Oryzias latipes: one gene and its partner. The protein of the gene in region 2 binds, or shares a complex with, the protein of the main gene of each other region. Links are inferred from orthologs where the notes say so. Each region holds a gene or a part of one and is shown on either strand. Other genes may lie near its edges. The genes, in order: pttg1 and espl1.

What was found.
Region 1: the proteins of espl1 (region 2) and pttg1 are in contact, whole or in part, in a cryo-EM structure (PDB 7NJ1), measured with the Homo sapiens proteins. The link is inferred for Oryzias latipes from reciprocal best matches to the Homo sapiens genes ESPL1 and PTTG1. Residues at the interface, in NP_036423.4 of Homo sapiens: His402, Thr405, Val406, Tyr409, Ser461, Asn462, Tyr465, Tyr468, Arg505, Arg508, Glu512, Glu544, Thr547, Phe548, Arg551, Gln590, Lys593, Ala594, Val595, Arg596, Thr599, Gly600, Arg603, Gln634, Cys637, Tyr638, Trp683, Ile686, Glu690, Ile697; in NP_001269311.1 of Homo sapiens: Tyr111, Pro112, Glu113, Ile114, Glu115, Lys116, Phe117, Phe118, Pro119, Phe120, Asn121, Pro122, Leu123, Phe125, Glu126, Ser127, Phe128, Asp129, Leu130, Pro131, Glu132, Glu133, His134, Gln135, Ile136, Ala137, His138, Leu139, Pro140, Leu141.

The regions. Positions count from the first base shown.
Region 1 is NC_019868.2:9,721,568-9,726,100, reverse strand, and holds pttg1 (securin), read right to left. Parts: upstream 2,927-4,533; 5' UTR 2,864-2,926; exon of another isoform or gene 2,757-2,863; intron 2,109-2,756; 5' UTR 2,104-2,108; coding exon 2,016-2,103; intron 1,931-2,015; coding exon 1,797-1,930; intron 1,706-1,796; coding exon 1,624-1,705; intron 1,192-1,623; coding exon 1,036-1,191; intron 410-1,035; coding exon 324-409; 3' UTR 263-323; downstream 1-262. Other genes in the region: ankyrin repeat domain-containing protein SOWAHD, read right to left, coding at 1-4; sept6 (septin-6), read left to right, coding at 3,443-3,472. UniProt on the Homo sapiens protein: Regulatory protein, which plays a central role in chromosome stability, in the p53/TP53 pathway, and DNA repair. Probably acts by blocking the action of key proteins.
Region 2 is NC_019863.2:4,432,998-4,436,814, forward strand, and holds part of espl1 (separin), read left to right. Parts: intron 1-55; coding exon 56-298; intron 299-478; coding exon 479-623; intron 624-3,083; coding exon 3,084-3,243; intron 3,244-3,488; coding exon 3,489-3,628; intron 3,629-3,817. UniProt on the Homo sapiens protein: Caspase-like protease, which plays a central role in the chromosome segregation by cleaving the SCC1/RAD21 subunit of the cohesin complex at the onset of anaphase. During most of the cell cycle, it is inactivated by different mechanisms.

The DNA of each region.
Region 1 (4,533 bases), on a different chromosome or scaffold from region 2:
GCATTCCACTCCCGCAAAAGCGGATGGGTGGTCTTTAGGCGCAATTTAGGTCCACCGTGTAGTTTCCACTCCGAGCAAAGACTGGAAATCTTTCCTCTGAAAGGGGAACTGAAAAAGTTCATTCTAATGAAGCAGATCCTCTTCAGAAGACTCCCAACACGTGACCACAGCTGGAGTTTAAAGCAGGAAGTAGTTCAGGTTCACTCCCCTGACACTTTTGCAGCCATTCCATCACACACACACACACACTCTGGACCACAGATGTTGCCAAGAAAACTTTATTTCAACACAAATAATAAAAACAGCCATTTAACAAACAGGCATCAGCAGTCAGTAAGCGGTTCTGGGGGGAATTCAACAGTCAGCTCTTCAAGGGTTTGTAGGAAGGCATCCAGCTCCAAGCTGTGATCTAAAAAGGAAAATGAAGAGGAGTTTATGAAGGCTTTCCTGCCAACAGGCACACTTTCCAACAATAACAGCCATAACAAGTGGCATTTGTTGGAAGTCACATGATTCAGTTAATGAGTAACCTACAGGTCTGATCATAGTTTGAACTGTTCAACACTAAAAGGATTAACAGGTAACAGGGAACAGCATTGTAGTTTAGGGGGAAAGCTTTCCTATTACGTTACAGTTTGGGATCATTCGACAAGAATCCAGTCTGTGTTTCCCCAAGGGCACTGAGGAGCCAAACAGGTTCTTTGCAACAGAGCTGAGTAAATGAAAATTCAAACTAGTTTATTTTGTATCCCCAAAAGAAAAGAGAAAAAAAACGAACATGTTGACTCCAAAGTTACTAGATCTGTGTACAAATGGTTTGAAGTTTTTTGTTTTAACAGTAAAGCAAACCTCAAAGTTAAAATATTTTCTGTCTAATTTTGAAAAACATGACACGATTACTTTTTCCTAGTATTTATTACTTATTTAAAGCACCATGTGGCGTTCTGTTGCATTTCCCTTTGTTGCAACAGAGTGATTTCCTCTGTAAGCTCCTGAAAATAGGAGATTTATCAGACGTATAAAGGAGAACCATACCTGGAAATCTGCACCCTTTTGCAGGTGAAGGGTCTGGGAGAGGCTGAATCTTTTCCAGGTCTTCCTCAAGAAGAGGCGAGGTAAAACAGGCCAATCCGGGTAGAGCCAGGCCACTGAAAGGAATGAAGTCCTCGGGTATGCTGTACTTCTCAAACTCTGAAAATATGAAGAAACTCAGGAATGGGTGAAAAATTTCCCAGACTGTGAATAAGCCCCTTTAAAACCAAAGAAGTCAGAAAAGACACAGCCACACATGGGAGCCGTTTAACACAGTGGACACTACCACAAGGCCACTGAGCCACTTCCAATTCTTTCACATCATTACATTTTGTTGCTTTTACTTGAACAACCACCACTCATGAGCAGAAAGACGCTGTGCCCGTTGATTATGCTCAGTGATAAGAGTGGATATTGTAAACATGGTGGCTATGAAATGATGTGACATTAGCAGTAAAGACTTTCAGATGGCATACAGCTGCAGCACGACCAGCGGAAATGTGGAACTACTAAACATCTTGGTTTAAAAAAAAAAAAAAAAAACCTCTTAAAAGCATAATTTGCCTGCAAACCAAACAAACATGACATTACCTAGAGGGTTGTAAGGAATAAAATTTTCCATTTTTGGGTATTCCTCCCCTTTGGCTTCAGAAGGATGCTCGACCTTGACTTCCTATTGAGAAGAAGGGCAATATGGACACACAGAAACAACAGAATAGCCTTTTGCTGAAATAAATCCATTTGTCATTAGTGTTTATTTTTACCTGTGGTTTTAAAACTTTTTTCTCTTGTGTACTCAAAGAAGGGGTTAAGATCTTTTTGTTCACCACCCCAAAAGCCTTACGCGCTGAATGGACAGGGGTATTTTTGACCAACATTGGAGACTTCAACTGTTTTTCTGGTTATAGAGAGCGAGAATAAAAAGGAGGATCATGCAGAGTTCCACAAAGATAATCTGAAACAGTTGAACATGTTTTTAATACCTGGAGCAGACAGAAGCCTCTGACGCATTTTCAGGGAAGAGGGACGGAGGCAAACATTCTCCTGTTCGGTGAAGATGACATTTGCCATCTTGGCTAAAAGGTAAAAAAAGAAAAACATTTGGTTTCAAAAAACTTTCAATTACTTTAAATGGGGTTTTATATACACAAATTCATAAAAATATAACTTAATTTATTGAAAGAAAAGGGGGAAAAAAAAGGTGCACTTTGAAATTCATAAGTAGACTAACAGAGTTGGCTATTCTCATTTTGTTTCCCCACAATTCAGGCATTTTGAGGTTCAATTACGGATTTATTTATTTTTTTTTTACATCAAAAAGGCTTTCTGCTAATTGGTGCTGATGTTTAGCATTAAGAAGAAGATTATGTATTGTCAGGCCCAAAACTAAACTAAGCTAAAGTAGACATTTTGTTTTCATCTAACAACTATGCAATTATTTACAAAATAATGGATACATTTCCCATTTGGAAAATGATTAAGTTCAGAATAATTTAGTTCAGACAACAAATATTTATTTACATTTACTGACAATAATGTAAACAGCAGAGATTTGTCCAATGCTACATTATTGTTAGCGGTTAACTTTGTTTGTCATGCAACGTTACGTACGGTTTAAAAATTATCGTTAGCAGTTTGTCGTGCAACGTACGGTTTAAAAAAAATTGCCCATTTACGTAAAATCTTGGAATGATAAACCAACGGTTACTTTCACGTCTATTTACCTTAGTGTTAGTAACCTCAAAGAACAATAGTTCTTGGTCTCAATCCGAAGGCTTTATCGTCTTTATCCTGCTTTTTGTTTTTTATCTAGCTACAACAGCTTCCGCACCTTTGTTTTTAAATCCGTTCACTTCATTCCATTGGTCGTTGTAGCCCTCGTGACTGTCGTTGGGCAGTGATTATGATTGGTCGTTGTACCCCACGTGACTGGCATGAATTAATTTCACCCGTGTCTCATTTCAAAGCGTTGTATGAACAGAATTGGGCATATTATCGAAAAAAAATAATCATTTAGTCAATACCAAACTAACAAAAATTGCCCATATTCATAAACTGGATAATTATTCATGCTAATTATTCCCCTTTTATTTTATTTTTTTATTGCTTGCTGACTTCCATTTACTAGCGTTCTATCGGACGAAACCATGTCTGCACCATCTTTCTTTATCTTATGTGTTTATTTTTCTATAAATAAATCCGTCTTAAAGATAAACTGCAGTTATATGTCTTTTTTTCCCTAGTACCTATTGTTGTAATCAAGACGCAAAAGCAAAGCTACGTGTTCTCTACATGATTAACTCCGTAGATTCAATGGTACATTCCAAACAGGCCATCTTTCTGAGGAACGTTAACTGTTCAGCAGGGCTGCTGAAAGAGGACAGTTGAGGGAGAGCTAACAGAAAGCATCATGGCTTCGACCGAGATAGCAAGGCAAGCTGTAAGTCTTCTGTTTTACTTTTAAACGCATCCATCAGCCTAAATATGAATTAGTTTTACGTTTAATGTGCGTCAAGGATATGTTAGATGGAATTAGGTGTTAATAAGGAACTCCCCGCATTTTTTGTGCCTTTCAGAAATTCGCGGCATCATAGCTAAACCAGTGTAATGTCACTGTATTGACCAAAACACCCCAAATATGCTTTGGATATTCATTTAGAGCTGTGCCTTTGTAAAATTGTAGATAGGAGTACCTGGTCTTAGCTTTTGTATTGTATTCTTAATCGAGAACAACGCCTTTATCTCCATGCTGGTTACAGCTAGCTTAATTATCTCATTAACGAAACTGCGCCTGGTAGAATTATTAGTTTTTCATTGCCGTCGTAACAAAAATGTCGTATATTTAAAAGGTTTAATCAATACAAATCCCCCCGTAGGCCATTCATTCTGAACGCCCCCATTTCAGCTCAGCTTCAGTGTTCATTTCCGTTCTGTTCTGTCATGTAAATCCCGTTAACTTTCAACGGGCGTTGTCTAAAAGTAAACAATATTTCTTGGTTACTATTACTTAGTAGTAATGCATATAAACAAGCGGTTTTAAAGCTATGCTAGGACAAAGTGTGCTGCTCTTTTTTTTAAGGGAGAAAGGAAACCACTTAGTCCAGAGGGAGTGCTTAGAATAGCAAGGTTGTCCAGTTTTATATCCCTTTGTGGCTCCAATGAATGAAGCAGATTATGTTGAGAGAAGATGCCTGCGATTTATAAAGTGTTTAGTCTCTCATTTCCTTCACACCTTCAGCTATTTGACCCCAATTCAGCCCCTTTAAAACAATCTGCCGCTTCCAAGTACCACCAGCTTGCACAGTTATTTTAAAATGACTTCTCAGAGTTTTTCTTTTCCCTCCTTTAAAGCCATCACCGTATTGGACAACACTGTGTTATGTTCAGCCACATAATGGCTGCTTGTGTTCATTTTAGCTTGTGGAGAGCTCTTGCTTTTGGCATGCAATGTACATTCTTTGCTTTTCCTGAATGCAGACATTGGCTCTCAATGTGAGACTC
Region 2 (3,817 bases):
AAGTAAAGCCCCTCCTGTCTTCCCTCCCTTGTTCTCCTGTATCGCGATGGTTCAGAACGTTGCGTGACGGCTTTGGTGCTGATGTTCCTGATGAGCAAATCATGCTTTGCCTTTTGGAGGAAGAGTTGCGTACGTACAAGGAGTTGCCAAGAGACACAGCCCAAGAGCGTTACAACACTCTCTGTGATCTCCTGGACATCTGTAATGAGGAAAGTTCTCACAGCCATCGCCGTGCTCTCTACCTCTGTGAAATGGCTCAGGTTGTGTGCTTCCAGGACTTTGGAGAACACACCGACTGGTAAGAGCGTTTCTATGTATTTTCCATAATTTACTAATCAATACTTGGTAGAATGTCTTTTTCATTTTATGCCTTGTGCCCCTATGTTCACACCATGGGAATGAAACTGATCCTCTCTGGCCATGTTTGCTGGGCACTAAAATGATGGAAATCTCAATGGTTTCCTTTGTGTCCACACAGTGCTGCAGTTGATTTCACGCGTGAAGCTCTGCGTCTGCTTGGAGACGAGGTCGAGACTCCGGAGAACTCTGACAGACTGAAGGATGACAAAGCCCACGCTGAACTTTGGCTTTTTATCTGCAGTTTGGAGAAACATCTTCAAGAGGTGATCCGCCTTTGATCATCTGAATTTTCATCATTCTCTTTGTATTTCTCCTAAGCAATCATTGAGCAAATTTTGTTAAATATCTTTTGGTGACTAATTGAGATTTTAAAGTCCCGCTCTGATTATTTTTTTTGATCTATTTTCAAAGTGTTCCCAGTGGTTTTGAAATACGTTTTTAGCCAAAATCCAATAACTTGCGGCGTTTCCTAGGACATAGTTTCTGCAGAGAAGCAGAAGTTCATTAGAAATGCACCTCTGAGTTGTGGGCGGGACTTCAGGCACAGTAGTAAGCCTCTGCTTATGGCACGATGCGATATTAGTGATCAATATTGCGATGACAAAATAACTTGTGATACATGGAAAAATAGCAAAACAACCAAAAATATTTTTATTTCACTGCAGCATTTTAATTTAAATAAGAGTCGACATAACTTAAATTACACTCTAAATCAGTGGTCACCAACCTTTTTAACGCCACTGACCGGTATGACGTCACACTCAGTTTACGCGGACCGGATATTACCATGTAGGCGGATGATTATGTCAGTGTTTTTCAACCAGTGTGCCGTGGCACACTGGTGTGCCTTGGGAGATGGTCAAGTGTGCCGTGGAGAAATTGCCCTCATTCACTGATCTAAAAACATTTCCCATCTCCAGGATATCAGCTCTTTGTTCATCCAAACAGGCCCTGATAAAACACTGAGGAGTTAGGAATATCAAAGATCTTAAAATTACTTTTTCTTTGTGTTTATTTAATTCTATTAAAGACATTTTGATAAGGATTACGTTACCGCGATTTACCTGCAGCTATGACAGTTTGCGGAAAAGTCCCGTCCCTTTAACTGTCTCCACCAATCATTCTTGAAGGCTTAATCACATGTCATCAGTCTGACCAATCAGAAGTGCTTAAAGTCTTCACTTCCTTGTTCTTAATTCTGCTGATAGTCGCTCAGTTTTAACAAAAATACCGGCTAAAGCTCTTCTTTAGCGGTGTAGCTTTCCACAGAGTCCGGTGTCAGACCGTGAAACAAGTGGACAATACAATAAATCTCAGAGACGCCAGTCTTTCTGCAAGTTTTCGGCACTTTTCACACTACATCTCCCATGATGCATTGGCTTAAAGAGCCAGTGTCCCAGTGCACAATGAGTTGTCCTTGCGAAACGCCTTGAAACCCCAACAAACAAACAGTTTCTAAATTTTTCTAATTTAACTTTCATTTCATCTCTTAGAAAAAACAGCCGCAACTTCTTGCTTTTCCGGCCACAATTATCACAAAAATACACGTGAGATTGCGGGCGGGCGGGGGGGGGGGGGGGGGGGGGGGGGGGGGCTGTCGATCAATACAGACCATGAATTTCTGTTTTTTTTTTTTTTTTTTTTTTTTTTTGGATGCTGGTGTGCCGCGGGATTTTTGTCAAGGTTAAAGTGTGCCGTGGCTCAAAAAAGGTTGAAAAACACTGGATTATGTTAACAAGACTACGATGAAGGAGGAACAGAGACATAACAAAACAAACTCTGAGCTTTTATTTTGACAAGCATGACATTGTACATTGCTCAGGTCTCATCATCCTCTCCCCTTCCCACACTCGTGGTGCAAAAATGAAGTACTGTCTATCAAATGTAGCTTTCTTTATTTTGGAAGTGGAAGGCTCCTCTTCTGTCTCCTGGCTGGCCCCTTTCCATTTGGCAAAGAAACTTTCCAAAGACGTTTGTTCTTTTACTCATTTTGTTAACTCCTGGGTTTTATTCTAGCGGTAACCTATTACGTGACCGACAAGAGCGCCTTGGCCTACGTCAAGGTGACATAGACGGATGGAACAGAATTGGTCAATTTTTCAAAATAAAACCTCTTTCAGATTCCGAAATAAATAAAATGGATGTAAGTTATTTATTCTTTCTGTGCGGCCCAGTACCAAATGACCCACAGACCGGTACCAGTCCGCGGCCCGGGGGTTGGGAACCACTGCTCTAAATGACCCTCGTCTACATAAGAGGCGAGGATCTAACATAAAAGAGCTTCAAAATAAATAAAAGTGCTCCATCCGATTTGTCAAATGCATTGATGGATTTATTTGATTGGTTGAATATTTCCAGCTGACATAAGATTGTTTTAGCACATTTAAAGTTATAATTTGTTGCGATTTTCGCCGTCTTTTGCGATATTTTATTTAGCATGAAACGACTACAATCTTTTTAAAAAATGTATCTTTGTGGGTTCTTAATTCACCAGGGTTTGAATAAATAAAAACTACAATTTTAATCTGAATTTTCTTTATACATGTCCTCCATCAGAAAATGCAACAAGAACAGGTTAAAAACACAATTTAAAATGGGGTGGGCCTTCAAATTATAATGAATATTATACCATTGATTCAAAAATGAATGCTCAATGGTGAAACCAACCTGCTGGTTTGCCTTAATCTGGATTGCTGTTGAAACTGTTTTTGTCTTTGATCCAGGCCATGGAGAATGAAAGGAAACAGAGGGAGCTGCGTGAACAGACGCCCGGTGTGAACAGTCACATTGGGAACAATGATTTTGATTTTGAAGAGAAGCAGAAGATGCATGACAGCAGTCTGGTCTATGAAGGTCTCCATTTTAACTTGGCTGCAGAGAAAAGTAAGAGTGCTACTTTCATCTATTAATTCATGTAAATGGTCATTTTTACTGAGTAATCTACACGTCGTTCAATAAAAACCATAGCAAACTACAGTAAAATGCAACGGACTACTCTGCAAATAATATCACGTTTAGCTCATATTGTGATCTCAAATTTTCCTATAACCATTTATATGGTTCAAATGTGGAGTCAAATTGAAAATGATGGTTTTTGATTTGAGGGCGTCCCGTTCGTCTCGTTTTAGAGTTGTGCCAGCCGTTGGAAAGAGCTCTGGAAATGTGGTCAGGTCTAATCCAAAGTGGAGCCCAGCCTTCTGTTCGAAATGCTAAACAGACCTGTAGCTCTGTCGCTGTGGCTGCAGCTCTCTTCAGACTCATGGGGAAGGTAAGGAATGACTCCAAACAAAATCATTTTTACTGTCAGTTCCTACTTATGGAATCGCTCCCCTTATAAAAAAAATGGCATTTATCTTTTATTAATAATTTGGGAAAAAAGTCATTATTTTTTAGCTAAATCAAATGTACCAGTAAGTTGTCATTTCCTTCTAAATGTTTTTAAGAGATGATCTATAAC